4 linked regions of the Callithrix jacchus genome follow. The protein of the gene in region 4 interacts with the protein of the main gene of each other region in a pairwise test. Links are inferred from orthologs where the notes say so. Each region holds a gene or a part of one and is shown on either strand. Other genes may lie near its edges. The genes, in order: LMO2, YJU2B, DZIP3 and ZNF24.

What was found.
Region 1: the proteins of ZNF24 (region 4) and LMO2 interact in binary tests that used the Homo sapiens proteins (3 or more experiments, as listed by UniProt). The two-hybrid records come from large-scale screens. The link is inferred for Callithrix jacchus from reciprocal best matches to the Homo sapiens genes ZNF24 and LMO2.
Region 2: the proteins of ZNF24 (region 4) and YJU2B interact in binary tests that used the Homo sapiens proteins (3 or more experiments, as listed by UniProt). The two-hybrid records come from large-scale screens. The link is inferred for Callithrix jacchus from reciprocal best matches to the Homo sapiens genes ZNF24 and YJU2B.
Region 3: the proteins of ZNF24 (region 4) and DZIP3 interact in binary tests that used the Homo sapiens proteins (3 or more experiments, as listed by UniProt). The link is inferred for Callithrix jacchus from reciprocal best matches to the Homo sapiens genes ZNF24 and DZIP3.

Annotation. Positions count from the first base shown.
Region 1 is NC_133511.1:99,241,667-99,249,805, forward strand, and holds the start of LMO2 (rhombotin-2), read right to left. Parts: upstream 4,360-8,139; 5' UTR 4,096-4,359; coding exon 4,089-4,095; intron 3,966-4,088; coding exon 3,746-3,965; intron 1-3,745. UniProt on the Homo sapiens protein: Acts with TAL1/SCL to regulate red blood cell development. Also acts with LDB1 to maintain erythroid precursors in an immature state.
Region 2 is NC_133523.1:12,550,993-12,559,206, reverse strand, and holds the start of YJU2B (putative splicing factor YJU2B), read right to left. Parts: upstream 5,246-8,214; 5' UTR 5,186-5,245; intron 4,126-5,185; 5' UTR 4,006-4,125; intron 2,427-4,005; 5' UTR 2,240-2,426; coding exon 2,237-2,239; intron 1,206-2,236; coding exon 1,152-1,205; intron 1-1,151. UniProt on the Homo sapiens protein: May be involved in mRNA splicing.
Region 3 is NC_133516.1:99,726,768-99,734,194, reverse strand, and holds part of DZIP3 (E3 ubiquitin-protein ligase DZIP3), read right to left. Parts: intron 5,673-7,427; coding exon 5,507-5,672; intron 4,207-5,506; coding exon 4,111-4,206; intron 3,954-4,110; coding exon 3,826-3,953; intron 1-3,825. UniProt on the Homo sapiens protein: E3 Ubiquitin ligase proteins mediate ubiquitination and subsequent proteasomal degradation of target proteins.
Region 4 is NC_133514.1:78,423,143-78,431,251, forward strand, and holds the start of ZNF24 (zinc finger protein 24), read right to left. Parts: upstream 5,102-8,109; 5' UTR 4,476-5,101; intron 1,419-4,475; 5' UTR 1,337-1,418; coding exon 917-1,336; intron 668-916; coding exon 520-667; intron 1-519. UniProt on the Homo sapiens protein: Transcription factor required for myelination of differentiated oligodendrocytes. Required for the conversion of oligodendrocytes from the premyelinating to the myelinating state.

The sequences.
Region 1 (8,139 bases), on a different chromosome or scaffold from region 4:
TTTCTCTCTCTCTTTCTTTTTTTCTTTCTTTCTTTGAGTTTCGCTCTTGTTGCTCAGGCTGGAGTGCAGTGGCAGGATCTCAGCTTACTGCAGCCTCCACTCCTGGGGTTCAAGAGATTCTCCTGCCTCAACCTCCTGAGTAGCTGAAATTACAGGTGCCTGCCACCACAGCCAGCTAATTTTTGTATTTTTAGTAGAGATGAGGTTTCGCTATGTTGTCCAGACTGGTGTCAAACTCTTGACCTTGTGATCCAACCGCCTTGGCCTCCCAAAATGCTGAGATTACAGGTGTGAGCCACAGGGCCCGGCCTGTGTCTCCTATTTCTAACTGGCACTAACTTACCAGGTGACCTTGTGTCCTAATTAGTCTGTATCCAAAAAGCCCAGCAGCCATTATATTTGGAGACAGGAGACTCAGGTGGCTCAATGTCTATAATACTCTGACAACTTGAGGTGATTCTGTCATGCAAAGTATGAAGTACTCCCTATGAATATTTAGGAGTACCAAAGCCATGTCCACACTTTGTAGATACAGTGTAACTGGACTTCATGAGATTATCATCTTTAGAACAAGTAAATGTAAAGTTCAAGCTAGTTTATCTGGGGGGAAAAAAATGGCCAGGCACAGAGGCTCACACTTGTAATCCCAGCACTTTGGGAGGCCAAGGCAGGAGGATCACTTGAGCCCAGCAGTTTGAGGCCAGCCTGGGCAACATGGCAAAACCCTGACTCTACAAAAAACATAAAGAATTGCCCAAGCTTGGTGGCATGAGCCTGTAATCCCAGCCTCCCAGGAGGCTGAGGTGGGAGGATCACCTGAACCCAGAAGGATGAGGCTACAGTGAGCACTGCATTCTAGGCAAGACAATACAGTGAGACCTTAGCTCAAAAAAAAATCAGGACTGCATTTATTTATTTACTTATTTATTTATTTATTTTTGAGACAGAGTTTCGCTCTTGTTACCCAGGCTGGAGTGCAATGGCATGATCTCAGCTCACTGCAACCTCCGCCTCCTGGGCTCAGGCAATTCTCCTGTCTCAGCCTCCTAAGTAGCTGGGATTACAGGCATGCGCCACCATGCCCAGTTAATTTTTTTGTATTTTTAGTAGAGACGGGGTTTCACCATGTTGACCAGGATGGTCTTGATCTCTTGACCTCGTGATCCACCCGCCTCGGCCTCCCAAAGTGCTGGGATTACAGGCGTGAGCCACCGCGCCTGGTGACTGTAGTTTTAAGAATTCACTGAAGGCTTGCTTTCTTTCCCTTGTTTCTACAGATTGTATATAAGGACTACCATTCTCCCTTCTAATAACTAATACCCTGGCTTTTTCACGTGTATCAACTGGGAATTGCATCTCTTCTCTTTCCACAGCCCATGGTCTTACTCTGGGCTTTCCAAACCACTCATGGAACCTTGACTACATTGGATGCTGCCAAAGGACTGTGAAAGAGGAGAATTTGCCCTTAGCTGGTGCAAAACTGCCTGGAATTCAAATGAACTGCTCTTGGTACTCACGGGAGGCAGCGGGGGCCAGCAATGGCATAGCAAGGGAATCTCTGTGTTCATGAATTCTGGCTGGCTTTCTGTCCAAATGTTTCATTTGCATATAGCTAGGCAAGTCTCCATCTGTAATTTGGAGATGCTGACTGTAATAACCCAAGTTGGCTTTGAGGAAGTACACAATGAAGAATCTAGTAGGATACTGGACCACAGGAGGAACGTAAAGTAAATGAGTTATGGTGACGGCCTGAGATGAGATGGAGAAGTAAAGTGTAAGATATTGGCTCTGTCTTTCTATAATTAATTAATGATAATATCACATTATACTTAGTGGACAATCCAAGACAATGACTGAATGAGATTGATTCACCCTCAAATTAATATTTTATATTCTCCCAGAGCCTATCTTGAATATTATACCTGAATATCACTTCAGCCCGGATTTCTGGGATAATTTCATAACAATTTCTAAGGGGGTGGGGAGAATGCACTGCAGCAATTTCTCAACCAGCTTGTGCCTTTTTGATTAGAACCTGTCTTCATTGGGCAAATAGTGAAGTGAAGGAAAGAGCTGGTGAGCCTCCAGCAGTCGATACCTGCCTGTTAGGAAGTTAGGATGTTTCAGTTTTATATCCTCAGTGAGAAAGCACAAACTTTGAAAGAAGCAAACTTCCTTCAGGGAACTGAAACCTTCAGATTTATCTTCTATTGAAAGGATTAGTGACAAAATTCTACTGATCAAAAAGGCATTAGGCACCAATTCATCCAAGTCACTTCCTTATTGTGTGATCTTGCCCAGTCTCTGAAACTCAGAGCTCGGTTGTAATTGTTAAGTTTATTTAAAAACGTGATCAAACCACCCTTTAAACCCATTGTTTGCATAAACATACTTTTAAAAAGGAATGTTATTTTTCTTCTGAGAATTTGTTGAAGGAAGTGGGGGTTTTTGCTACAACAAACCTAGCTCATTATAGAACTGGTGTATTAACCTTCAAGACTGAATAGTGATGTTTATATTCTCATTGGATGGTGGTACTTCCTGCGTTTTATGAGAACATGCTGAGCTTTTATGCTGGTAACGGAGGGTAAAACCCAGGTAAATAAACACCATAGCCGAAATTGAAGGGGGTGTATGTGTGTGCGTGCGTGTGTATGTGTGTGTGCGTGCGGTATTTCAAGCAGGAAAGCACAATTCTTTTAAAGCAGGAAAAGACAAAACAAAACAAATGTCTCTTAAAAGCACAAATGGACAAGTCATTAACCAGCTCCTTTGGTCTTGTGTAACAAATCCCTTCAAAGGATTAGATGGGGACTTCAAAGGAATAAAAATTCTCAAAACCAGACAGCTAATGACTCTTAAAATGGCATTTGCGTTGACAGGAAAATGATATCTTAAACACCCCCTGCTCCCCATGTTAACACTAAAGAATGGGTTAGGGATAGAGAAATACTCCAAACTGGTACGAGGCTCAGAAAACAGATGCGGCCAATGCTCATTAGAGCCCTGGTTACCTGACCCCAAACCCTTTTGAGACTATGCTAAAAACTGAGACTCTGCTCCCCAGAAGAATTAACCTACACGCAAAATGGTGCACTAACTTTCGAGGTTCACAGGCCCCATCGGTGGACCCCGAGGAGGGGTACGCGTACTCAGATTTACTCCGGATTTCGCTGCTCTAGAAATCCCTGGAGGCCCAGAGCCAGCTCCGAGAAGGGCGGTCAGACCCCTCACCCGCCCGGTACCCGCGCTGCTGGCAGCGGCTCCACCTGCGGACCGGGAAGTCGGCCGTTGGGGACCCCGGAGGCCTCCACTTGGAATGTTCCCCTTTCCAAGACCAAATGGACAAAGAGAAAGGGCCGAGACTGAGCGAGAGGGGAGAAGGGAGCAGTGAAGCCCGAACGCTCTTCCGACTGCACCTGCGCGCCTCCGGGCTTCCCTGGCGCCTGCTCCCGTGCAAACTTTCTGGCCCGCGGTGGCTTTAGGGAGCGTCCCGGTAGCCTGGAGGGGCCCACAGAGGCGCCGGGCCGACCCCTCGCCCTCCCGCCCGCCTCCCAGTCCCTCTCCCAGGGCCCCCGGAGTTACCCACGAGGAAGGGGGGAGTCCCGCGTTCGGCACAGGGGACCAAGGGCACGCCGGGGCGCGCACCTGGAGCCCCCTCGCGGGCCGCCTGGGTCCCCCCCGCCGCCCCGGGGCGGGAGGCCATGGACACCGGGGGTGGCAGGGGCAGGGGCGCTGCACTTACTCTGAAGGGTCCAGGCTCTTCCTTTCGATGGCCGAGGACATTGGGGAGGGAGGCGGCGTGCCGGGCGGTGGGGGCGCTCCCTTTGTCGCGCGGGGCTGGCCGGCTGCCGGGGCTCGGACCCCCTCGGGTGCTCGGGCGCCGCCGCTCCTGCGCCTCCGCTTGCTCTGGCGCTCCGGCGGCGAGCTCGCCCCTCCGCGCTCAAGGACAGTCACCGCGCTCCCTTCAAACGCCAAAGAGAGAGAGCGAATCACCGGGCTGCGGGCGCGCGGCGGCCGAGGCGGGGGCCGGGGCGCGCAGCCTGGCCCCGGAAGGCTGCAGCTGCTGCTGCTGCTCAGGACTTAACCTTCCATCCCGGTCCCGCCGCCGCCGCCGCCGCCGCCGCCGCCCGGTCCCTCTCGCGCACTGTCGCCGGCTTCGCGCCGCCCACGGGATGGTGCGCGCCCGCCCGGCCGCCCCGAGCCCCTCGCACCTTCGGCCCGGGTCTCCGCGCGCAGCTCGCCGCAGAGGGCAGAGAGGGGGCGGCGGCCTGGGGGCGGGGAGGGGATCGTGCGTCTCTCCCCGGGCTTCCTCCTCTCTCGGGAAGGTCTATTTTCGCTCAGCTTCCCTCTGTCTCTGGTTTCATTTCCTTTTTCCTGATCACGATTCAAATACAATAGAAGGAAATCACATTTAAAGAGACAGCTGCCCGGTCCCCCCACCTCCCCTTTTTTCTTCCTTTTTTTTTTTTTTTTTTTAACGGGGCTCCTGGGGATTAGCAATACAAACAGCAGCATCAGGACTGACTTGGTTTCTTAAAGGGGCCAGTGTCGGGAACGGGGAGAGCCGCTCGGAGAACACCTCTCCTTGGAGAGGAGGCTGGGCAGCCACTAAATCATTCTTCAGAGCTTCCCCTCTTCCGCCTTTCCCTTTTAGTTTAACTGAGGCAGAAAGTAACCCACGAACAGTTCGATCAACCAAGAAAAGACAAGAATGAGAAATAAGCACCTACAGAAATGCAAGCGTTCCGAGTGGCTTTTGCGTCCGTCCTGGGTTCGAGGTCCCAGATCCACGGACCCGGTGCACCGGGCTGTCCCGGACCGCGCAGCTCTGCGGGCGGTGGGCTCCAGGCTGCGGCCGCACTCTGCAGAGGCGATGGGGCTGTGCGGGCCGGGACTGCTGGGGACGCCTGAGCAGAGCCAGGGCAGCTAATCCCAGAGGGAGGGTGGCGGGGAGGGACTACGCGGGGCCAGGGATCCTCTCAGTCGACTCGTGGCGGAATCCCCTCCCTCAGCATCTTTCAGAATGCGGACTAATGCAGTTAAACTGCCCCCATGTGTAGTGCCAGTGCCTGGGTGACAGAGTGAGACCCCGACCAAAGAAAGTGCTTTTCCAATGTTCAGGAACAGTATTGGGAGATTATTTTGCCCTGGGTCAGGCATAAAGAAGGGGATTTGATTTGGGGGTTCAGGCTTCCCCCCCATCCAGCCTCCTTCTAGAAAGAGGCAGGAAGCAGAGGGGAAGGAGAGGAGGCTAGTAGTCTGCCCTTCCATGGAGAAAAACTTTGGCTCCCCTGGGCCTCAGAGTTCCTTGAAAATATCTGCATTCAGGCCTATTTCGGTGTGATGCCCGTCATTAAGGCTTGCAAGGAGGGAACTGCCAAGTACTTTCAGGATCCATGGTTTTATATGATCAGTCTGGATCATAGGCATACTTATTTTGTTCCCATTTTAAAGATGGCACCACGGGCCTGGCTGAGCTCACCCTGAAAGGTGGTAGTTGAAGTCAGAAGTGAATCCCTGCATGCTTCATTTTCCCTGTTCAGAGCCAAAGCTTTATGGACCTGTCCAAGTATAACCAGAGTTTACCACTGCCTGCATGCTCTTGTCATTTTTTGCCCCTGTGTCCCAAGGCTTGGGTCTCTAATGGCTATAATTAAAAGCTCTGTGTGTGTGTGTGTGTGTGTGTGTGTGTGTGTGAAAGGAAGTTTAAGAGCACATTTTTGTCCAAGCAAAGTCTTCAGTATACAAAAAGACTATTTTTTTTTTTTTTTTGGTTGTGCTCAGTGGCTCATGCCTGTAATCACAGCACTTTGGTAGGCCCAGGCTAGCCTGAGCAACACAGTGAGACCCCATTTCTATTAAAAATAAAAATAATTAGCTGGGCGTGGTGGTGCTTGCTTCCTCAGGAACCTGAGGTACTAGGATTGCTTGAGCCCAGGAGGTGGAGGTTGCAGTGAGCCATGATTGCACCACCACACTCCAGTCTGGGGGTCAGAGGAAGACCCTGTCTCAAAAAACAAAAACAAAAACAAAAACCACTTTTTCCCTGATAGACCCTTATTTTTAATTTAAAAAAGAAAATTCCTAGAAATTTTAGACAAGCCTAAACTATGTGATAAAAATACAACCTACCACACTACTTTCATGGTTGTGATGAGCAATTCACCTACTTGTCAACAGTCAGTGTGGTGGCTAAATGCTGGAATTTTGGGACCCGGCTGCCTGGGTTTGATTTAGCCTCTTACTTACCAGCCAGCATGGCCTCGGAAAACGACTTAATCTGAGGAGGCAATATGCGGTGGTGGCTCTGGAGTCAGACTACCTGGATTCTAACCCACCTTTGACCACCTGTGTGAATGAACCTGAACCTGGGCTCCCAGCAGGAATTTAAACTCCCAGTATCCTGTAACCCCAGCACTGTGAGAGGCCAAGGCGTGTGGATCACTTGAGGTCAGGAGTTAGTGACCAGCCTGGACAACGTGGTGAAACCTCATCTCTACTGAAAGTACAAAAATTAGCTGGCTGTGGTGGTATATGCCCTTAATCCCAGCTACTCCGGAGGCTGAGGCAGAGGAATTGCTTGAACCCAGGAGGTGGAGGTTGCAGTGAGCCGAGATTGTGCCACTTCACTTCAGCTTGGGTGACAGAGTAAGACTCCATCTCCAATCAGTCAATAAACTCCCAGTATCCTCATCTGTAAAATGGAGATGACAGAACCTATTGCATAAGCTGTTGTGGGGATGATATGAGTTAATGCACAAAAGGGTGGCACGTAGATTTGTAATGGCCTTAGGCTAATAACAGATATGAGGTTGCTTGCAGGAAAAGCAACTGGTATATAGTAAGCACTCATAAATGGCAGCTGCTATAGTTTTAGCAAAGGGCATCATTAAGATAATTTTAAAAGAGCTTGAAATTAAATTTAAAGGTGAAATGAGGGTTTAAGATAAGAATTGCCCACCCAAATTTATAAACTATTTCCTGTTTTTTAAAAGCAGGAAACAGGATCCCTTCCGCTCATCTCTTTCTTCTCAATAAAACATGTTAACATTTTCCATTTGAATCTTCATTATCGTGGTGAGTGAGTGATCTGTTTGCATCTGCTTGTTTTTATTCAATCTGATAAATTACTACTTTCCTTGTTACAGTTTTGCATGGGGCTCAAGTCAGTTGTTAAAATAAATATATTCTTGGGTTCCAAGAGGTAACCTCAGAACAGCCAACTTCAGGGCATAAAGTTTCTTTTTAATAATGTGCTTCTACTTTGACCTGAGTGTGTAAGAAAAAGAGATTACTGCCTATGACTTTGGGTCAGGGTCTTATCTTTCACAACTCTTTGGGGAGAACTTCCTTAGAGAAGGTGAATATTTGAAATGGTATCTTAAGATTTCAATTTCACACACAGTGGTTGTAAGAAATAACTGCCTACCGGTGGGATTTCATTCCTATTCAACAGGCAATTAAATCGCTCAAATTTAAGTTTAACATTTAGAATCAAGTCTCAAAATGTGTTTTTATTATGAATAATTTTAAGGCAATTATGACCTTATTGTATCCTCCCAAAACAACTTGTACATGCCTTATGCAGAAGAGAGACTCAGAACTATGAGGTGATTGGAATATGTAAAATAGTTCTTTCAGAGTAGAGGAAATCTCTGTTTGATCCCTGCCAGTGGGACTGACATTTAATTCCGTTTCCCTTTTCCCCAGCTCCTTGGAAATCTTAAATATCCTAAAGTCTAGAAAATTTTCAAATTTTCCTTCCTGAAAAAGAATGCTAGAAGAAGAATAAATCAATCTACATGATGACTCTGACCCCAGATGAATCCCCACCCCCCAACCGTGGGCATTTTCTGTTCTTTTTGTTTATTACATTTACAATTGTTTTCTAGGGTAGAGCAGTTTCAGGTGACTAAGGCTACATTCCTTTGCTAAAATGGACTTCTGATAGAAATGAAAATGCAAATATAATTGAGAAAATCCCAACATTACGGTAATATACCTCTCTCTTTTTTTTTAACCATTAGAAGCAAAGTTGCAACATATGCTTTGTCACTTGTGACATTCATATACAAAAACATGACATTTTGTTTCTGAATGTGGCATTCAGGAACAAAAATGAAGATCTGTCTTAAT
Region 2 (8,214 bases), on a different chromosome or scaffold from region 4:
CATGCCTGGCTCATTTTTGTACTTTATTAGTAGAGACTGGGTTTCACCATGTTGGCCAGGATTGTCTTGATCTCCTGACCTCGTGATCTGCCTGCCTTGGCTTCCCAAGGTGCTGGGATTACAGACACGAGCCACTGTGCCCAGCCCCATTCCCATTTATGAACTGAAAGAGCCAGGGGACCCTGAGTGAGTGACCTCATGTTTTGCCTTCCTGAGCCTCAGTTTCCCCCGTCTGTCAACTATGTATAATGGTCATCATTACTTCCAGGTTTATGGGGAAGATGAGGTGAGGTGACAAGGCTGGCAAACATTCCCTGGGGACTTCATGTGTATCACCTAATTTTTTTTTTTTTTGTGGCAGAGTCTGGCTCTGTAGCCCAGGCTGGGGTGCAGTGGCATGATTATGGCTCACTGAAGTCTCCACCTCCTGGGTTCAAGCAATCCTCCCACCTCAGCCTCTCGAGTAGTTAGGATTTATCCCTCAATGATTCTGTGAGGTCAGCTCCTTTTATTTTCCCCTTCTGACATATGCAGAAACTTTGGCATACAAAGGCCAAAGTCGTATACTCAGGACTAGGCAATGGACTCGGGCCCTGACTGAGCACCTACCCTGTGGGGACACAGCCATGAACAGCTCTGTCCTCATGGAGAGAATGTTCTAGTAGGGGAGACGGACAAGACACAAATAAAGGAACAATAAGTGAGGGAGTTCTAAGGGCTGTGAGGTTATATAAAGTGCTCTGCCATGCCACAGAGAACGAGACAGTGGTCAGGGAGGACCTCTGTGAGGAAAGCCCTTAAGGAACTGAGGGTATGGTGAAATGGAGGAAAAGATTCCAGGCAGAGGCGACAACCAGGACGCCAGAGGTGCTGGAGCTGGGGAGCCAGGGGATCCTCATCCATGCGCTTGGCCATATCCTGGGCCCCCGCTGTAAACACACTATGCTCCTTGCTGGACATGGAGTGACAGGTCCCTGAGGAGAGCCCCAGTTACCACCCAGAAGTGAAGACAGCCCGAGCCTCATGTAACGAGCGGAGGACAAAAAGACCTTGTGGGCCGCCCATCCTTCCACAGCAGCAGCTCCAACCCCAAGAGGGGATGACGTGGGCCTTTCTGCTAGTGTGGGGCTGGAGGAGGGAGCTGCTCTTACCTTTTCGGGGTTGAAGTCTGGAGGATAGTACTTGTTGACCCCTTTCCTTTCACCCTGTAAAGCGGAAGAGACATGACTGAGAGACAGGCTGATTTGGTTTGGCTGTGTCCCCACCCAAATCTCATTAAAAACATTTTTTTTGGATTATTTATTTATTTTATTGAGATAGAGTCTTCCTTTGTTGCCCAGGCTGAGTGCAGTGGAATAATCTCGGCTCACTGTGATCTCAGCTCACTGCAACCTCCGCCTCCTGGGTTCAAGCAATTCTCCTGCCTCAGCTTCCCGAGTAGCTGGGATTACAGGTGCCTGCCACCATGGCCAGCTAATTTTATATTTTTAGTAGAGACGGGGGTTTCACCATGTTGGCCATGCTGGTCTTGAACTCCTGACCTCAGGCGATCCACCTGTCTCGGACTCTCAAAGTGCTGGGACTACACGCGTGAACCACCATGCCTGGCTTAGTAATTGTATTTTTTGTAGAGACAGGGTTATGCCATGTTGGCCAGGCTGGTCTCAAAATGCCTAATCTCAAATGATCCGCCTGCCTTGGCCTCCCCAACTGCTGGGATTACAGGCGCGAGCCACTGCGCCTGGCCTCATAATGTTTTATTTTATGTTATATGAATTTTACCTTTTAAAAAAATGAAGGAAAGAAAGAGAAAGAAGGGGAGGGGGAAGGGGAAATTTAGGCTGAGCGTAGTGGATTCCTTGAGGACAGGAGTTTGAGACCAGCCTTGCTAACATGGTGAAACTCGGTCTCTACTAAAAATATAAAAATTAGTGGGAGGTGCTTGCTTGAACTCAGGAGGTGGAGGTTGCAGTGAGCCAAGATCGTGCCATTGCACTCCAGCCTGGGTGACAAAGTGAGACTGTCTTAGAAAAAAAAAAAAAACACCAAAGGAAACATTTAAAAAGCACCCCTGGGTGATGTTAGTGCACAGCAACGTTTCAGACCCACTGCATCAAGAGGGTGACCCCGACATAGGAAGCATCATCTTAGAGCTGTGGGAGGGGAGGAGGGGCTGCTTCCAGGGTCCAACACAGACTGGGAGAGGAGCCCAGGGCACACGAGGCTGTCTACTCACCATCCTGGCAGTTGCCTACTGGTCCTCACCCTCAGGGCAGACGATCAGAAACTGGCCTTGTGAGCACACTGCCCTGTCCTGGCCTCCTGGTCCACTGTCTTCCCTGCGAAGATGTCGTGGGCCGTGTGGTGGAGCCGGCTCACACAAGACTCCTGCCAGGCGTTGCAGACATCCAAAAAGCGGCGTGTGTCTGTTCAGAAAGAGGAGTTCTGCCTACTCAACAGCCAGTGTACCCATCACATCTGACACTTTCATCTCTCTGTGGCCCCGACCAGTCCAGCACCCATCATCACTCACGTGGGCCAGCGCTGTCTTCTCGTTTCCTGCCCTGCCCCCGATGCTTGCTCACCCTACAGCAGCCCAGGGGATCTTTTAAAATATGGACAGCCAGGCGCAGTGGCTCACGCCTGTAATCCCAGTACTTTGGGAGGCTGAGGCGGGCAGATCATGAGGTTAAGAGATCGAGACCATCCTGGCCAAAATGGTGAAACCCGTCTCTACTAAAAATACAAAATTAGCTGGGCCCGGTGGCGCGTGCCTGTAGTCCCAGCTACTTGGAAGGCTGAAGCAGGAGAATCGCTTGAACCCAGGAGGCAGAGGTTCAAGTGAACCAATACGGTGCCACTGCATCCCAGCCTGGGCTACAAAGTGAGACTCCATCTCAAAACACACATACACACACAGACACACAGACTCATCTGACCACTCAATCCATAGTCACTAGTTTCCTGGAGTTGTTTTTTTTTTTTGACAGGGAGTTTCATTCTGTTGTAGGCTGGAGTGCAGTCGCGTGATCTTGGCTAACTGCAATCTTCACCTCCTAGGTTCAGGTGATTCTCCTCGTTCAGCCGCCTGAGTAGCTGGGATTATGGGTGCCTGCCACCATGCCCAGCTAACTTTTGTATTTGTAGTAGAGACAGTGTTTCACCATGTTGCTCAGGCTGGTCTTGATCTCCTGACCTCATGATCCGCCTGCCTCATCCTCCCAAAGTGCTGGGATTCCAGGCATGAGCCACTGCGCCCGGCCTGTTTCCTGGCGTTCTGGTCACATCCCCTGTGTCTGTTCATGTCTCCCGGCCAGGTTATACTGTACCATACCCCAACACCTGGACAGTGCCAGGCCCAGATAAACGTCAATGGGGTGAGCGACTGAGAGAACTGATCGAGGCTCCGTAAGGGCCACAGTCAGTGCAAGTGACACAGCTAACAAATGTGGGGGCTCCTCAAGCTAGGGGTGGTCAGATGCCCTCCCATGTTTTGGAAGGGAGCCTTTTAGGTCAAATAGAAGGAAGTTCAAGTTTACACTACAGAGAGATGCTGTGAGGCAGTGAAGCGTATTCTAGAACAAAGATTGGCCAAGTTTCTCTGTCAAGGGGGGAGACAGTAAATATTTCTGGCTTTTTAGGACAGATGATCTCTGCTCCAACAACTCAACTCTGCCCTTGTAGCTAGAAAGCAGCCCCAAACAACATATAAAGGAACGTATGTAGCTGCATGCCAATATAAATTTTGTTGACACAAATTTGAACTTCACATACTCGTCACCTGTCCCAAAGCATCCTTCTTTTGATTTTTTTCCCCAATGACTAGAAAATGTAAAACCATTCTTAGGGACTGGGCACAGTGGCTCACGCCTGTAATCCCTGCACTTTGGGAAGCAGAGGTAGGTGGATCAATTGAGGTTGGGAGTTCAAGACCAGCCTGGCTAACATGATGAAACCCCATCTGTACTAAAAATACAAAACTTGGCTGGGCATGGTAGCACACACCTGTAATCCCAGATATTCAGGAGGCTGAGGCAGAATTGCTTGAACCTGGGAGGCAGAAATTGCAGTGGGCTGAGATCATGCCACTGTACTCCAGCTTAGGTGAACAGAGCAAGACTCCGTCTCAAGAAAAAAAAAAAGAAGAGAAAAGAAGCAAATGAATGAGGTTCTGATGGAGTGGGGGCTATGTGATGAGGCGGGGAGGCAGTGGTGCCAAGTCCTGGATATAAACTGTTCTGCTCGCATCTTAGTCTTGGATACTCCACTATAAAGTACGGCCCTTAGCTTAGATTATTCCAAGGTCTGTTCGAACCTAAAAATACTTTTGCCAACAAAATAGGTAAGTGCCCCTTGAGGCGTTAGGGGTCACGGCACCCTGGGCTTGAATCCCAGCTCCACTCAGCTGGGTGACCTTGGTCAGTGTCTGTACTTCCCCGGGCTTGTTGTATTTCGTCCCTGGTAAAGGGCGAATGATGACGACAAGACTGACTTTCTGGGGTTGCTGTGAATCAAGTAACACACGGGAAGAGCCTGCAAAGAGCAAAAATATTCCTTTTACGGGAGCGTGAGGGTGTGCATGTCTTAAGATGGTTTTACTGCCCCAGTAAATGACAGACTGGGCTATGGGGGGCGGGGCGTGTAGGTATCTCCGGTCCTTCGTGCAAAAGTAATTACCGACCCTGTTTGTCCTGGGCTTACAGCTCGGGTTCGGAGTGCCACCGTGCTGCTGCCCATCTGCTTGACTTGGGGCAAACTGTTTCTCTAAGCCTCGCTTTCCTTATGTGTAAAATGGTTGGTTAAGGCATTTAGAGCAGCGCCTGACACCGAGTTAAATGTTGGCAGTTTAGTAATTTCTCCTGCTCACGGTTTTACAAGGATCATTTAAAAAAAAATTGGTGAGGTGGGGACTTATTGGTCCCATTTTCCGGATGCGGAAACCAAGGGGCCCTTCAGGCATAATATGGATGCGGGCTAGGATGGGGCCGGGAACCGGGCACTTGGGTCGGGGGTCTCAGCTGGGGCCTCAGGGACTTTGGTCGTGGCTGGGACCTGGGCCTGCTCCGGGCATCCAACTCGGGTCCTCAGCTCCGCGTCCCGCAACGCGGACGGGCGAGCCAGGCGGCTCCGAGGCCAGGGTGAGGCGGCGGCCGGACCCCGGCCTTCCCCGATCCTCCGCACTTACCTGCCCTCCTCCCGACGTCACGGCCCGACCGTGCCCGGAAGTGAGCGCTGGGAGCTCTGTGAAACTGGGCGCCCTCTCCACACCACCCAGACGCCGGCGCGAGGCGGGGCGAGACAACAGCGCCGCGCTGATTGGCTGAATACCGATATGCCGCGCGCTCTGTGACGCCGGGTAGGCCAATCCGGGCATTCCCCGCCCAACTGCGCTTACGTCAAGATGGCGTATCTGTCCCGCCCAGTACGTGGGGCCCAATCCGAGGCCCACCTCCTGGCACCGCCCTCCCGAGAGTGCTCTCCTGTGCGCGGCAGTGGGTCAGCGTGGGTGAGCAAACTATAGCCCGCGGCGCGAAGCGCACTAGGCCGTGTTTTCGGACGGCTAGTGAGCTAAGAATTGTTTGTCCAATTTATTTTTATTTTCTATTTTTGAGACAGGGTCTGTCTTTGTCGCCCAGGCTGGAGTGCAGTGGCGCAGTCATAGCTCACTGCAGCCTCGAACTCCTGGGTTCAAGCGATCCTCCTACCTCAGTCTCCCAAATAGTTGGGACGACAAGCGCGCGCCACCGTACCCGGCTAATTTTTAAAATCATTTGCTGCCGGACACGGTGGCTCACGCCTGTAATCCTAGCACTTTGGGAGGCAGAGGCAGGCAGATCACGAGGTCAGGAGTTCAAGACCAGCCTGGCCAGCATGGTGGAACCCCGTCTTTACTAAAAAAATACGAAAATTAGCTGGGTGTGGTGGCGGGCGCCTATAATCCTAGCTACTTGGGAGTCTGAGGCCGGAGAATCGCTTGAACCCGGAAGGCAGAGGTTGCAGTGAGCCCAGATTGCGCCACTGTTATCCAGCGTGGGCAACAAGAGCGAGACTCCATTTCAAAAAAAAAAATTATTTGCACAGGCAAGGTTTTACTATGTTGCCACAGCTAGTCTCGAACTCCTGGACTCAAGCAATCCGCTGGCTCCCAAAGTGCTGGGATTATAGGCATGAACCACTGCTCTGTTTTTGCATTTTAAAATGGTTAGGTGGGGGAAAAGATATTTTGTGACTCGTGAAAATTAAAAAATCCAGTTTCAGCGTCCATAAATAAAGTTTTATTGGAATACAGTGATATGCATTTTGATCTGCTGATTGCTTCAAAATAAGGGCACTTGGGGGGAACAGCAAATGCAGGGAAGGAGGGGTTTTCTCTGAACTGAATTGATCTTATCTGCCTGAACACAGAAAGAAAGATGAATCCTTTCTCACGGTTTTATTAACTAGGGAACAGTGAAACCACGCCCAGTCATCTGTTCTGAGGGCTGCTCTGAGACAACTTTGTTTTTTTTTGAGACAGAGTTTTGCTCGTGTTGCCCAGGCTGGAGTGCAATCGCGCCATCTCAGCTCACCACAACATCCACCTCCTGGGTTCAAGCGATCCTGCCTCACTGTAGCCTCCACCTCCCGGGTTCAAGCGATTCTCCTGCTTCAGCCTTCTGAGTAGCTGGGATTACAGGCATGTGCCACCACGCTGGCTAATTTTGTATTTTTAGTAGAGACAGGGTTTCTCCATGTCGGTCAGGCTGGTCTCAAACTCCCAACCTCAGGTGATCCGCCAGCCTTGGCCTCCCAAAGTGCTGGGATTACAGGCTTGAGCCACCGTGTCTGGCCTGAGACAATTTTTATTACCTGCAAGACTTTATTTGCTTAACAAGACAGACTTTCTTCATCATACAATTTGTCCCCTCACACTCCCATAACTTGTGTTGCCACCACCCTCCCAGAAGCCCCAAACCCCTATTCTTTTCTCTGATCCTCTTTTTCCTTTTTTGAAAGGGAATCTCCCTCTGTTGCCCAGGCTGGAATGCAATGGCATGATCTTAGCTCACTGCAACCCCCACCTCTGAGGTTCAAGTGATTCTCCTGCCTCAGCCTCCCGAGTAGCTGGGATTACAGGCGCCCGCCACCATGCCTGGCTAGTTTTTGTAGAGGTGGGGTTTCATTATGTTGGCCAGGCTGGTCTTGAACTCCTAACCTCAAGTAATCCACCTGCCTTGGCCTCCCAAAGTGCTGGGATTACGGGCTTGAGCGGCTGTGCCCAGCCGCTCTGATCCTTTTCGGAGTCTCGTATTTTATGGGACTCTCCTGCATAGGTACATAATTAAATATGGCTTTTGTTATGTTTACATGTCAGTTTAATTCGTAGACCAGCCAAAGATCCTATAAAGGTGAAGGGAAGCCATTTTTCACCTGCCTACAACAGCAGGGCCCATTCATTTATCTGTTTCATTTACGTACTGTCTATGGCTGCAACAGGGCTGAATTGAATGGTTGCAGCAGAGTAAGAGAGAGCCCAAAGAGTCTGAAATATTTACCGTCTGGCCTTTTTCAGAAGTGGGTGGATAACTTCTCTTGGGGCCTCCAAAGTAGCCTGGCCCTGCCTTCTGCACAGGTGAATGGCTTTTGAATTTACTTTTTTTCTTTTTTTTTTTTTTGAGACGGAGTCTCACTCTGTTGCCCAGGCTGGAGTGCAGTGGCGTGGTCTTGGCTCTCTGCACCCTCTGCCTCCTGCGTTCAAGCATTTCTCCTGCCTCAGCCTCCCAAATAGCTGGGATTACAGACAGCCACCACCACACCTGGCTAATTTTTTTTTCCCTCAGGACAGAGTCTCACTGTGTCACCAGGCTGGAGTGTAGTGGTACAATCTCAGCTCACTGCAACCTCTGCCTCCCGGGCTCAAGTGATTCTTCTACCTCAGCCTCCTGAGTAGCTGGACTACAGGTACATGCCACCATGCCCAGCTAATTTTTGTATTTTTAATAGAGATGGGGTTTCACCATGTTGGCCAGGATGGTCTTGATCTCTGGACCTCGTGATCTGCCTGCCTTAGCCTCCCAAAGTGTTGGGATTACAGGCGTGAGCCACCGCACTTGGCCTATATTTTTAGTAGAGATGGGGTTTCACCATGTTGGCCAGCTGGTCTCAAACTCCTAACCTCAGGTGATCTGCCCTCCTTGGCCTTCCAAACTGCTGGGATTACAAGCGTGAGCCACC
Region 3 (7,427 bases), on a different chromosome or scaffold from region 4:
TCAGTTCTATCAGGTTTTACTTTATGTGTTTTGAGGATGTTTTTGGTACATATACCTTAAGATTCCTGTGGATTGATCCTTTTATCATTATGTAATGTCCCTCTTTGTGTCCAGCAGTCTTCTTCCTCTGAAGTCCACTTAATCTAATTATAATATAACCACTCTTACTTTTTTTATATAAACCTCTGCATGGTATATCCTTAACTTTATTCTTATTTAGGTCCCTTTATCCTCCTCACTTTTTGAATATATTGCATTTCTTCTATGTACATTGAATTCCATGAGATGGTGTTAAAATTTTTGCTTCAACCATCATATATGACTTAAGAAATTAATAAACAATCTCTTATTATTTTTCATACTCTTTACTCATTCTAATGGTCTTCTTTCCTTTCTGAAGTTTCAAGCTTCTATTATATATCTATTTTTAATGTTAGAGACCTTTCTATAGCCATTCTTTAAAGGTAGGCTATATGAATTTACTAGCAATAAATTCTTATAATTTTCCCTTGTCTGAGACTGTCTTTATTTCCCTCTATTACTAAAGAATAATTTGCGCTAAATATGGGATTCATGGTTCTACTTTTTTCTTTCAGTAACTGAATAAACTACCATTTCATTCTGGTCTTCATGGTTTCAAATGAAAAATATCTGTTGTCATTCGAATTACTGTTTCATAAGTAATTTTTTTCTCTGCCCTTTTTCAAGACTTTTTTGTCTTTTATTTTCAGAAGTTATGATGTGTCTTAGCATGGATTTTTTGGAGTTTTTGCTATTTGGGGTTCACTTAGTTTGAGGTTCACTTAGTTTCTGAATTTGTAAATTTATACATTTCATCAAATTTGGGAAATTTTCAGTATTTCTTTGAATACTTTTTCAGTCTCTCTCTCATTCTGCTCTCCTTCTGAAATTCCAGTGACAAGTACTTTAGCTCTTTTGTTACTGTTCCACAGGTCCCTTACACTGTCTTTTTCATATTTTTCTCTCAGTTTATTTTCTCTTTGTTCTTCAGATTGAGTTCATTCTATTCAGCTGTCCTCATGTTCACTGATTGAATCCTTTGTCATCTCCACTCTATTAGTGAGTATATCCAGCAACTTTTAATTTTAATCACTGTATTTTCTAGTTATAGAATTCCCACTCTTTATTTACCTACTTATTATTTACCTGCTGAGATTTTCTAGGTTTTCATTTGTATCAAGATTATTCAGTTTTGTTGAAGCATTTTTGTGATGGTGGCTTTAAAATCCTTGTCAGATAATTCCAATATCTCAGTAATATTAATATTGTGATTTGCTGGTCTTTAATCTTTCTTGTCTGAATTTCTTGGTTCTTGGTATGGTCTATGTTTTCTACTCTACCATAGATATTTTGAATATTATGAGACTCTGGGTTCTAGTTAATCTTCCTATTTTTAACAGGCAGTCTCCTGTTGAGGTATAATGTAAAAGCCGAGGAAGGTGGGTATGCATGGCTTTGCACTGTGCTCTACGAAAAGCACCCCAGGAAAAGTGGGCACTGACTCGCACTGCCTCAATGCAGATGAGAGGTGTACAAGTTCAGCTCCCCTCCCAGTCCCACTGATACCTTCCCATGAAAGTGGAGCACCAAGTCACATTGCCTTCTTGCCGCCAAGTGGAATATAAGATCAGCTCTTTGCTGGACCCTGCTGACATTGGGAAAGAAGAAAGCAAAGGACTGACTCGCACTACTTTGTTGCTGCAGGGTAGAGGCAGAAGTTCAGCTCCCTTGTGTCCCTCTAGCACCAGCTGACGGAAGTGGGGAAAGGGAATGCCAGCTAGTCCCATGGGGGAAGACTTAATTCTCAGTAAGAGGGAGTGAGGATGAAGCCTAGTATTGACTAGTTTTGTCTCAGACTGGCTTGTTAAGTAATATTGGTGCTGGGTAGCGGTAAAGTTCAGCTTTCAGCTGACACATCCTGCAGAGGAATTAAAGTACTGTCTCCTTCTCCCCAGTGGAACATGGAAGTCAGCTGTCTGGTTAATACTGCCAACACTATCCTACCAGAAAAACAGGATTCCTGCTACCTACTTATGTTAGATGGGAGAATCGCTGTGTACCACCTACTTCCAAGGGGTGGCATGGGACCACTTGTGTGTGGCTGCAGTAGGGTGGGTATTGTCAAAAAGCCTTTCTATTATTATAATTTCCTTTTACTGATAATTTGGCTAGAAGAAACAGGCTTTTTTACAGTTTTTTTTTCCCCCTCTGCTTTTTAGCAATTCCAGGTTAAAGGCTTCCGCAGTGCCCCGAGATATATGGGAGGCAATCAGAAAATTTTTGCCAGCTCATTCCTTAAGTCTCAATGTCTTTAGACAGCATTCTTTCTTTTTCTACCTTCTAGAGTGTTACTATGCTTTTCTGTTGTGTTATATCCAGGGTGTTTAAGTTTTTAAGAAGAAACAGCTGTGAGAAATGGGGCTATACATCTTAGTGGACCTGGAAGTCTCTATTTTATGTAGTTTTATCCTTACATGTTAATTACACTCTCCATTGGATCATAATGAATGTCTCACACATCTTGGTATCTTCTACATGTGCCTTCCATAAGTTTTCTAACATAGTAGGCCCTTGATAAATGTTTGGTGAATGCCCAACATTAAATGCTCATTTTGTGAAGGCATATGCATCCCCTAAAGTGGACTACTTAATAGCCTCAAGCATGTAAGGGTACATGGGCCACCTGTCAGGAGTTGAGGAGGAATATCTTCAGATGGAAGAAAGTCAGCTCATCCTCACTGATGGCATGGCTTTTCTAGTCTCTGATATTCTATGACATATTTCTAGATTAGTCATCCTCTTTAGGCTAAAAGATGAAGTTCTGAATGCTGAAGTACAGTTTCTTAAATGATTGCAGCCAGCTTCGTTTGTCTGAGCTTTCTTAAGTCCCACAGTCTTCTAAACTTGAATGATCTCTCTAACTCTAGTAAGGATAAGTCTGACAATGCTTATGAATGAAATCATGTTGTCAGAACTATGGCATCTAGTTCTTGCTAATAACCCCTTCATGTGGCAGATGCAATATGAGAGAAAACTTAGAGCTAAATCTCTGGCAATTTCATAAGACATTCCCAGCACTTGTCTATTCTCCCTGTCAGCATTCTAGGAACTGCAATGTATTTTAAACTAGACTTTTTGGATGGCTGGTGTCTTACGGTATTACTGTTTGTTAAAATAATTGGCTTGAAACTATGCTGCTATTTAAATCAATACAGGTTGGAAGCAGTGATTAGTACAGAAAGAACAAACAACGTTACTAATTTTTTCCTAATTCACTTAGAATTTTTGGTCAGGATACATAAAGCGTATCCTAAACTTTAGGTTTAGGAGAAAAGAGATTGGGGTAAGGTGGGGAAGAGTCAATCAAACAAACAAAAAAAGAGATTTGTTTTCAATCTCACAGGCATAGAACACAAATGCTCTGAGATACCAACATAAAAATGCACTCAACAGATTCCCTGGTGTCTTTGAGGAATGTATTCATATACTATAAAGAAACAGCCAATCATTGGCCACATTTTTACAAATTAAAGTCATGACCTGAAAGTTAATTATCTATTACATTCACACTTGTTCGCCAATACATGAAAAGCTTGATATATAGTGTGAGCAGCTGCTTATTTCTCAATCCAGTTGGCAAGACAAAAAATATGGTTGGTTTTTAAACAAGTGCAGCCTTGTGGTTGGAGTTCCTAATGCGTAGTCACAGTGCCACCTAGTGGTTATGCAGGGAGTAAGTATTAAAGATACTGTTTACTATGGGGCAAACCCAGAAGTTCCTTTTATCAAAAGATTTACACTTACTTGGAAACCTTATTGATTCCAAAAGCCACTTGTTGATTAAGAGATGAAATAATTTTGTCTTTCTTTTTAATCTGCATTTGGTTTTCTTGCCACCGAAAAGTCACTGTTCTCAACTGTCTTTTGAAATCCTGATCAATAAAAATATTATTTCAGATAATTCTGTTCAAATCACCAGAAAATTGAAACAAAAATGCAAACAAAGTTATTTTCAAACAGCAAACACCTGTAATTTTAATATTTGAAATACTTCTCACTTCCCTCAGATCTAATGGCAAAAATACTTACTTCACACTGATAGTGCAATTTATAAAGCTGCCTTTGCCGAGCAAGCCTTTCCTTCTCAGTTTCTCCATAGTCTGTGGTTACTTTGCCAGCTGAGCCCTATGAGCAGAGGAAATATGCATGTCTTACTTTCCTCTAGAAAAACACTAATATTTTAGTTATTTGAAAGGGATTTAAAGCTGCCATCTAACTCCTGTTCATGTTTTTTGTCTCAAGTAAAACACCCAACTTAGATAAACGCACCATTAGATAAACCCACCTCCCCTCAATTAGAGCATTTAATAGAGTACCAGTTACTTGCCTGTTGCTGCTACTGCTGGAGACCACCAACTGCATGCCTACCATTTCTTAAGCACTTTCTTTGTAAGAGTGATGCTCGTATTGTCATAAGAACCATATGATGTAGACAGTCATTATTTCCATTTTAGAGATGATCTCATAGTGAGTAACTTGCCCAAAATCACATAGACAGTCAGTGGAGGAGCCTGCATTCTAACTCAGGCAGTCTTCATTGCCCAAGCACTTATTACACTGCATCATCTGAGTTTAATGTTCAACTTATGCATTACATTGTAAACATTATAACAGAGACTCTGTCTTAGCACAGCTCTTGACAAAATGCAGGTGAATATATCATTTCAGTTAAAATGTATGTATTCTAATTAGGAGAAAAAAAGGTATGACAATTATATGAATGTTGTACTATTGGCCAAGGAATGATTTGTACTAACTGTACCCTTAGACAATGAGTATTCCTACATATTATATACCACTATATTTAAATAGCAGAGCAGGTTATCACTGAATTCACACTAGTAGGTAAAAAAAAATTGGTTTTAAAAAAAATTCATTTGCTGTTGAGCACTTAAATCACATTCACGTGCCTCTTCACATATAGGTACATCATTCCAAGCAGTGTCTACCAGGAATGGAGCCAGAAAAAAAAACATGGCTACACGTAGCCATTTTTGTAGCCATTTCATGGTAAAAATCATATTGAATTTTTAAAAATCAAAGCAGCTTTATATTACAAACCCGTTTTTCTCATGACCTGTAATCTAGTGGTATTATGCTAGTTTTTTTTTTTCTTTGTGGTATTCAAAAAACCTTTGCAAGAAAAGCATCTGTGATCAACTTTGCCCTACATTTAAAGCAAGGAAATGGTCTGAGGGCTAAGGTGAAGTTTCCTGAAGTTTCTAGCTCCTAGGGGTTCTGTATTTTTTAATCTATTTTCCTTCATATAGCCTTCCTTACCTCCTTTTCTGTATTTCTTTTTCTCCTCACAAACAGTACAAACCACTGAAATTTTCAAGGGGTTATGCTGTTCAGAGAGTCACAGGAAAAACCAGGTAACAACTGAATCTGAGAGAAGGCAGGTACCCTTTCCAATCAAGCTTACCTGCTCTATCATGTCCAGAATATGCAATTCATCCAGGCTATAAAACTTGTCTTCCGTTGCAGAATCCTCTTGAATATCACTTGCGTCATCTTTTAAAAAGCCACCGACTGACTGTGGATTTGCTTGTTCTTTCTTCAACTGCTCTTCGTTTTCTACCACATATGGGCTATAGCGGCAACATAATCAATGTGAGCCTTTACACTCGTACAGTGATTTTCATCTAAGCTATGGCTTCCCAAATTAGTATTGTACTGGTTTCACGAGATGCTCAGCATTAGAAGGGTTCATGGCCAAAGAACGTTTGGATAGTGCTCATACTGAGTCTTTCTTTTGAAGATTCTTAATGAACATTAGCATATTTAAAGTAGCACTCAGTCAAGGTACCTGTTTAATTCTGTTCATGCCACTGTTTTCAAAAATTGAGAGTTCACTTTACAAATTATAACTAGTAATTTCAGTTGCTTTGGAAAACAGTATTTCAGAAATATTGACAAGGATTTCCGCAACTGATATATTATTTTACCATTATAACATTCTTTGTTCTCCCATAATTTCCTTGACAAGTAGGTTGGTTTAAGCAACTTCAGTGATTAGGTCCAATGTACTTTTAAACAGAAGGTGGAAAATAGAACATAAAACAGACTGTAAAACGGAGGTTTCTTTTGTTACAGGACTTTTAAAAAAGAACTACATGGATTTCAGTAACTTAACTACTAACAGAGACCACCTTTAAATGATGAACATACTATATACAAATGATAGCAATTAACCAATTTCTATACTTTTTTCTAAAATTTAATTGCCTGATACTGTCCTTTCACTTGGCCTACTACTACTTACTAGCTATAAATTTCCTTCCTAATCTCTTTGAATGGCAACAAGAAACAGGAGTATTCTTATTTAGATTGTAATGTAAATGACTTGATTTAGCTAGTGAATAGAAAGTCCAGGATACATTATTACTTTTTAGAACACTGAGATCTAGAAAAAATGAAATCTAATGCTTGTGGAATAATTCATAAAATACTATATAAGCAGTAATTAGATATTACTGAGGTATTCTAGAGTGATCCAAACATTCTGAAAAGTTCAATGAAATCAATTGATTGTGTAGAACACTGATTCTCAGATTTAATTACTTTTCTAAATTATCTGAAGAGCTTTTAAAAATTAAATGTTTCTAAACATCCCTACAACTGTAAAAATACAGATGAATTTGTATTTTTGAAAAGTTCACCAAGATTATTCCTAAATTTTTTAAAGTATACTCAGGCATTGCCTAACAACAAGGACAGTTTCTGGAAAATGTGTCATTAAGCGTTTTTGTCATAACATAATATCATAGAGCATTAATACACAAAGTAGATGGTATAGCCTACTACATACCTAGGCTATATGACATAACCTATTGCTCCCAGGCTATAAACCTGTCACAGCATTTTACTGTACTCAATATGATAGGCAATTGTGATAAGTATTTGTGAATTTAAACATATCTAAACATAGAAAAATTACAGTCAAAAGGTAATATAAAACATAAAAAAATTGTACACCTGTACAGTGCATGTACCATGAATGGAGCTTATAGGACTGGATGGTGCTCTGGGTGAGTCAGTGAATGAGTGGTGAGTACCATATACTACTATAGACTTTAAAATAAACATGGTAAACTTAGGTTATGTTAAATTTATTAAAAAATAAAGTAATATCACTACAATGTTATGACAGCTACACCACTACTAGGCAATTGGAATTTTTCGGCTTCATTTTAATTTTATGGGACCACCATCATACCTGAGGTCTGTCCTTGACCAACATGCTGTTATGCAGTACATAACAGCACTGAGATAATATAAAAAATGTTCATATTTCTAAGATGTAAACTGAAGAATGAAGGGGTCAAATTACAAGGATGTTTGGG
Region 4 (8,109 bases):
TCCAACTATCATTTCTATAAAAGAAGCTTCTTAGAAGAAAATGACTCTAGGTAGGAGGTGAAGAAAGTTAGAAATAGTTAAATATTTAGAAAGATTTCAGTGATGCACAACAAAGAGATTAGAAGAGGCTTCAGATAAGCTTACTATACCAATAGAATTAGGCAGGAGATTGAAAGTAAAAGGATGGAAAACAGATGACAAGTAATACGGAATGCAAAACAGAGGGACTTGGTCTATGGGTGGGTGCTTGCTCAAAGTAAGGCAAATGCTAGCCTGACATGGGCAAGTCTTTTTAGGAAGGAGACTGAAAGGGAAGAAAAGGTTGAAGATGTTAATGTCTAGGAATAAAAGGTCTGAGGCCAGCAAAATCAACTTAATTAGAAATAAATCAAGATCTTGTATCAGGTTGAGAGTGATCTGATTCCCCCCACATCCCCACCAGTGAGAGCAAGCAAAGTTCTGAACAAAAGGCCTACACTCTAGTTCACCCTCTAGCCCACACAGAGTTCTGGTCCTCACCACAGTGCCTTAAGGAATGGAGCTCCCAGGATGCCCACTTGAGCTGGTTCTCCACAGCATCAAGCTCAGAACTTGGTAATCCCTGAGCTTCTTCTTGAGATACCAGGTCCTCTACTAGCACTTCCCGTTTTCGTCGACGGAGAGAAACCTGGAAACAGAAAGATTTGATTCAGAGAAGGAATTTTAATGAGAATCAGAACTAAAAACGTGTAGGAGAAATCCCATAAAACATATATTACAGAGGCCTAGATGGCAAAGAAGCACAGATAACAGGGAGTGGTAGGGGAATGGGGGGAAAGGCATAAACATAATTCTAACTTAGTTGAGTGGAATTAATTCAGCAGCTTTGCCTACTGCGATGCCAGTGCTTCTCAGGAAATGACAGAAGCAAGCTCACCGGTTGTCCAGGGTCATCAAGTTCACTCTCCAAATCCTCCAGCACTGTCACTGCCTCCTCTCCATTCTCTGGATGATGATCTCGAACCCAAGTCTGTAGCTCTTTGGGTAGGATGGCAACAAACTGCTCCAGCACTACCAGCTCCAAGATTTGTTCTTTTGTGTGTGTCTCTGGCCTGAGCCATAGACGGCAAAGTTCTCGGAGCTGGCTCACAGCCTCACGGGGCCCAGGTGAATCCTGGTATCCAAACTGCCTGAATCGCTGTCGGAAAATCTCTGGGTCAGGGAGATGGTTCCAGGGGATACTTGATCCCTCTTCACCATCGGGATCCTCCTCCAACTTCACTCTCAGAATTTTTTCCTCTTCATCTGGAGTTGGAATGATAAGTATTGAATCTTCTTCCACTGACTGTGCAGACATTCTGATTTATAATACTTCAGGAAAGGACAACTGAGGCAGAATATAAGCCTCAGGGCAATACCGCGATTTCTTCACGGTACTCCTGAGGTACAAGAAATAAAAAATACATAAATGAGCAAAAATATCCTAAAAATTTGGACTTACACTGATAAAAGAAGTAAAAGATACTTGTTCTTTGACTGAATTACAAACTTCGTTCGACCAATAACCTACACCAGGAGTTGGCAAACTACAGCTTCATGGCCAAATCTAGCCTGCCGCCCATTTCTGTACAACACTTGCATGAAGAACAATTTTCACATTTTTAAATAGCTGTGGCCTTCACCACAGTGCCTTAGAGAATGGAGCTCCCTAAAATTAAATGAATACCTAATGATATTTTAGAGAATGGAGCTCCCCAAAATCAAATGAATACCTCATGACATGTGGAAATGATATGAAATTAACATGACTGTTTCCATAAATAACTGTATTTATTCATACTTCACACTACAATAGCAGAGTTGAGTGACTACATGGCCTAAAAAACACCTAACACAGTCATGTACTACATAATGACATTGGGGTCAATGAAGGACCACATAGATGACAGTGGTCCCATAAGATTATAATGGAGCTGAAAAACTCAAGATTCACACGTTTGTGGTGATGCTTGTGTAAACAAACCTGCTGTTTTGCCAGTTTAGCACATACAGTTATATATGGAACATAAAACTTGGTAACTAAGCAGACAAGAATGATGAAAAAAAAAAACGGTAACAATAACAAACAACTATGTTACTGGTTTATGTATTTACTATACTATACTATTTTAGAGTGTGCTCCTCCTACTTATTAAAAAAAAATGGCTAACTGCAAAATGGCTTCAGGCAGGTCCTTCAGGAGGTATTATAGAAGGCACTGTTATCATGGAGAAGACAGCTCCACGCATGTTACTGCTCCTGAAAACCTTCCAGTGGGATAAGATGTGGAGGTAGAAAACAATGTTATTGATAATCCAGACCCTGTGTAAGCCTGGGTATGTGTGTGTCTTAGCTTTTAACAAAAAAGTTCCAAAAGCAAAAAAAATTGGCCAGGTGCAGTGGCTCATGCCTGTAATCCCAGCACTTTAGGAGGCTAAGGCAGGAAGATCACTACAGTCCAGGAGTTCAAGGCTCCAGTGAGCTATGACTGCACCACTGCATTCCAGCCTGGGCAACAGAGACGCTGTCTCTAAAAATTAAATTTAAAAATAGCAAAAAGCTTACAGAATAAGGATATAAATATATTTGTACAGCTGTACAATGTGTTTGTATTTTAAGCAAAGTATTATTACAAAAGAGTAAAAAAGTTTAAAAAAAAAACAACAACGTAAAAGTTGGCTGGGTATGGTGGCTCACACCTGTAATCCCAGCACTTTGGAGGCCAAGGCAGGGGGATCACGCGGTCAGGAGTTCGAGACCAGTCTTACCAACATGGTGAAACCCCGACTCTACTAAAAATACAGCACACCTGTAATCCCAGCTACTCAGGAGGCTGAGGCAGAACTGCTTGAACCTGAGAAGCAGAGGTTGCGCTGAGCCGAGATCAGGCCACTGCACTCCAGCCTGGGTGATGGAGCAAGACTCCATCTCAGAAAAAAAAAAAAGTAAAAGTTTGCAAGTGAAAAAGTTCCAGTAAGCTAAGGTTAATTATTGAAGAAAAAAATGTTTTCTTAATAAATGTAGTATAGCCTAAGTGTTCAGGGTTTATACAGTCCATTGGCATGTACAATAATGTCCTAGGCCTCCAAATTCACTACTCACTCGCTGACTTCTCAGAGCAACTTCCAATCCAGCAAGCTCCATTCACAGTAAGTTCCCTGTACAGGCATATCATTTTTAAAACCTTTTATACCATATTTTATTCTATCTTTTCTATGTTTTGATACACAAATACTTAGCATTGTGTTACAATTCTCTACAGCATTCAGTACAGTAACATGCTGTAAAAGTTTGTAGCCTAGGTGCAACAGGCTACACCAGATAGCCTAAATGTGTACTAGACTACACCATCTAGGTTTGTGTAAGTACATTCTGTGATGTTCACACAAGGATGAAATAGCCTAACATATTTCTCAGACTGTAGCACTATTGGTAAGTTATTCATGACCTTATTTACTATATGACCGCTTAAAGAAAAAGTCTGCCAATCATGACCTACTAAGACAACAAACCCTATGTCAATAATCAGAAGAATCCAATTAAGAACCAGACTACTTCAGTGCTTTCTAAATGTGCCTGACCATGGAACCCATTATTTGCAATTCAGGACTGGTGTTTCCTGACACACACAGGTCAACTCAAAAGGAAGATTCGCTTTATTATTACGTGCTTAAAAAAATTTTCTTTACAAAATGTTTTTTTAAAACTTAAATATTTTTAAGGTGTTTAAGAACTCCTTGGACTCAAAATATATGTGAAAAAATGTTCACTTGCTAAGTAACAGATCACATAATACTAAAAAGATCATATGTGAAAGATCACATAATTTTGAAAAATTATCTTGCCCATAATATGTAAATATTCAGTCTTCCATCACACCATATGTACATTGATATTTATAATGATAGGCATTAATCGCAGAAAATTCTATTAAGAAAAGGCACTCACATAAGCACCTTAACTTCTTGGCAGTGGTCCAGTGTCTTGTCCTTACACTGGATGACTCACTCCCCAGCTTCTACCTTCAGGAAAACTGTGTGCTGTTCCTGGACCTTTATTATTTGCACTATCATGCCCGTGCTGTTGTTTATGTCACATACTAGCAACGAGCAATTCAGCCTACTCTATTTATTTACTCAGGGCCCAGAATCTGAACAATAACAACTTAAAAAAATTTATTGTAACTCAAGATGAAGACTGAATCAGAAAAGGCCTTATCAGACAAATAATACATACTGGCTTAATTAAATATTCTGGAGTGTGGTGGCCTTATAAATAAGGTCTACCTAACACTCATTCGTTTCTATTCCAGGACCTGCTTATCAATGGTTTAAGTATCTCTACACAAATTTCTCTTCCTTTTACGTTGTAGAGCATACTACTCGTGGGACATGGAGGGAAGGCCCACGGTCCCAACAACGTTTGGGCAGGGTACCTGGTCCCAGGTGATCGCCTACCTCACTGCTGCATTGACCCGCTGTGTAGCCCGACCCTGGCCCAACGTCCTCTAGCCCCTCTTCCCAGCATTCAGGACAGCAGATTTCAGATGACCAAAAGGCCATCTGTGACAACAGACGCTGTGACAACAGACGCTGTGACAACAGCGTCGGAACCATGGCACTTCCGCCCGCGGCCGGCGAGACTACAGATCCCAACAGCCCCGCGCAAGTCCCGCCCCACTCCCGCCTCCTCCTAACACGACTCCCAGAACCCTCCGCGATACGCCAGGGCCTCGAAATAGAACAAAACCGGCCAGTGGGGGAGGGGGAAGGTGAGGGTCTCGGAGGACACAGAGAGTCAGAGGACTCTCCGCAGATGCCGAAGACCCAAGCAGGCCTCCCGCTCCCGCCTACCTCTCCCCGCCCCATAACTGCTAGGCGCGGAGGCCGCGGCCTGTTCCCCGGGCCTCTTGGGAAGCTGAGGAAGGTCCGAAGCAGGCTTCCCCGCCGGCTCCTGCTAAGACGGCCGGAGACCCTAGCCCGGTGTCCCCCTCCCTCTCATAACGTCCCCGCACACCGGCGCAAACCTCCGGCTCAGGAACCGCAGCAGCTTCGCTGTCCACGGCAGACGCAGAAACGCCGCTAAGAAGCCTTTTCCCAGAAGCCCCTGGCGCGGGCTGCTTCCGGTCTGCGGGCCCGAGGAGGCGGGGAGAGGTGAAGCCCACGTTGCCATGGAGAAGCTCCCGGGCGGGGGAGGGGCGGCCCCACGACAATGACCGCATTGAGGCTGCGCTTGGCCTCGTGCCTCTCCTCGAATAGCCCAGAGTCCTTAGGACCGTTTAAAAGAAAAGAAAAGAAGAGAGAGGACTCTGCCATTAAGATAGTCCTTACAGTTTCGCAAACCCTTTGATATGCATTATCTTGTGGATCCTCTCAGTAATCCCCTGCAAGAAGGAATAAAAGCGAGTATTTGTGAAAGCTTACTACATTGTGCCAGGCGGTCTCGTCGTGCTTTCCATGTCATTTGTTTCTCACAAATAAATGATGTAGGAACTTTCATTATCCCCGTTTAACAGCTGAGATAGTTGAGGCACAAATACCGTAAATAACTTGACAAGAGCTCACAGCTCAGTTGTGGGTAGCAAGATTTGAAACCAAGACGTGATTCAGATCTTTGGCTCCCACTACTTATGTCACGGAGCTTAATTCTGACCAATTTATCTGTCAGGAAAACCAAAAGAGACAAGAGTTTTGGCAGTGATGTCACGGTGAATTTGTAGAATGCATGGTCATTTTCAAGCTGGGCATTTTATACCATAAAATAGCTGCTGACGCAATCATTGAAAATTACAAATCAGACCACTTCATTCCCCCATTTAAAGGCCTCCAAATTATGCCATGATAATTTATGGCGTAAAAACTTTTTGTAATGATCTGTAAGGCCCCTGTGGTCTGTTGCCTGCCTGCACCCCCAGTCCCTGGTGCCCCCTATCACCTCAGCTCTTCAGCTCATTGTGGCCCAGTAGCCTCAGCCTCACAGTCTGCCTTTCATAGCACATGACCCTTCATGGCACTTAATGGAAGTGATTTCATTTATTTACTTGTTTTTTGTTTTGTTTTGTCTGTAAGTCCTTTAAGGGCAAGGACCTTGTCTGTCTTGTTCACCGCACTATCCCATCCTAGTCCCAGGATGCTGACTGCCTTTGGTAAATAGAGAGCTCGATAAATGTTTGTTGAATAAATAAATTGTGAGCTGATTACATCGCTGCCTTTAGGTCACATGTCTGGCATCAGACACCACACAAAGGAGCTCTGTTGTTTAAGGACGTGTCAAAAGTGTAGGTCCAGCCTTCTATAAGCATTCCAGTAATCTCAGGCTTCAACTTTTTGGTTCATTCGGGAAAATGCCCTCCCCAAGGTGCACTCAGACTCTGCTGGATTCATGAATGAAAGAGCAAGTGAGCAAGCAGCTGATGGTATTGCACTGCTTTTCACTCTGACCAGAGCTCTTCTCACAACCCCTGCTAACACTCTTCATTGCAGGAAGCTTCAGAAATCCAGCCCTTTCATTCTGCTTCTTGGATAGGACCAGTAAGCAGCTTGGCTCCTCTTCCCAACCTTTTCCTCTTTTCTGATTCATAAAGGCTAACTGAAGGCATCTTTGTTTTAAGAGTTTTTACATCTAATTAATGTTGGAAGACAAAAGTGATAAATCTCAAAATGAAACCTTGGGGAAGTTAAAAATGTTGCAGAATTTTACAGAACACTTTTCCTGTGATTATATTCTGTTTGTTTGTTTTTGAGACACGATCTTCATCCATCACCCAGGCTGTAGTGCAGTGGTACAGTCTTAGCTTACTGCAGCTTCGAACCTCCCGGACTCAGTGATTATCCCACCTCAGCCTCTTGAGTAACCGGGTATTTTATACCATAAAATAGCTGCTGACGTGATCATTTAAAATTACAAATCAGACCACTTCACTCTCCTATGTAAAGGCTTCTATTTTATGCTGTAATAATTTATCTTGAAATGCTTATGGAAGGCTAGACTTATACTTTTGACAAGTCCTTAAACAACAGGTGTGCTCCACCATGCCCAGTTAATTTTTTTGTTTGTTTTTCACAGACGAGGTCTTCCTATGTTTCCCAGGATGGTCTCCAACTCCTGGGCACAGGTGACCCTCCTGCCGTGGCCTCCTAAATTGAGCACAGGTGACCCTCCTGCCTAGGCCTCCTAGATTGCAGGTGTGAGCCACTGTGCCTGGCTTCCATTCTATTATTCCTAATTCCTTCTAAAATACTAAATGGAAACCACAGTGAGGTTTTCCTCACTAAGTTACTCTTTTGAGGGCAGAGGCCAATAATACCTGCTTTGAAACACCATCCTTCTGAAGTCCTCTGGGATTTTTCCTGAATGATGGCCCTTGATGCCATCTTAAAGATCTAGTCAAGATAGAACATCATGTTCCTCTGGGCAACCTGAATGGAGGGAGCAGATTCATACCAGGGCATGACAACCTTGCACATATCCACATAGGCCACATAGGTAATGCATGAACCACAGCTAATCTGAGTCTTGGCAGAACACCTTAGGATCCTCCCAGAAGATGAGCGCATATGAGGCTTGTAAGCAGCTTCTGCAAGGCCATTTCCCACTCAGCTCCTTGTCTTCCACGGAGACTGTCATGAGGCAGTTTTTCATTGCTTCCTGGGTTCCAATGAGCCATTCTGCCTTACCCACTTAAGGTTATAACAAGGCTTAGCTGCAGCATGGCATTAACCCTCAGCAACAAGGTGTCCACAACGCATGCTGTAGTCATCTAGCCCCTTCTGTTTTGGTGTCATCATTTGGTATCTGAGACAAAAGCTCAAGGAGAGCTGGCATTTCATTTGCTTTCAATGTCTGTGTAAATAATAACATGTCTAAATTCAAAAAGGGCTCATTTCTTTACCAGCCAAATCTTTCAACCTTGCCTTGCCTTGGTAGCAAACATCTGATTCTTAAAAATGAATAAAACAACCAGACATATACTACCTGGCTACCAGAGATATAGAGATAAATAAAATGAAGTCATGATTCCTTTGTTTTTCCCTTTAAAAGAGATGGGGTCTCACTCTGTTGCCCAGGCTGGAGTGCAGTGGCATGATTACA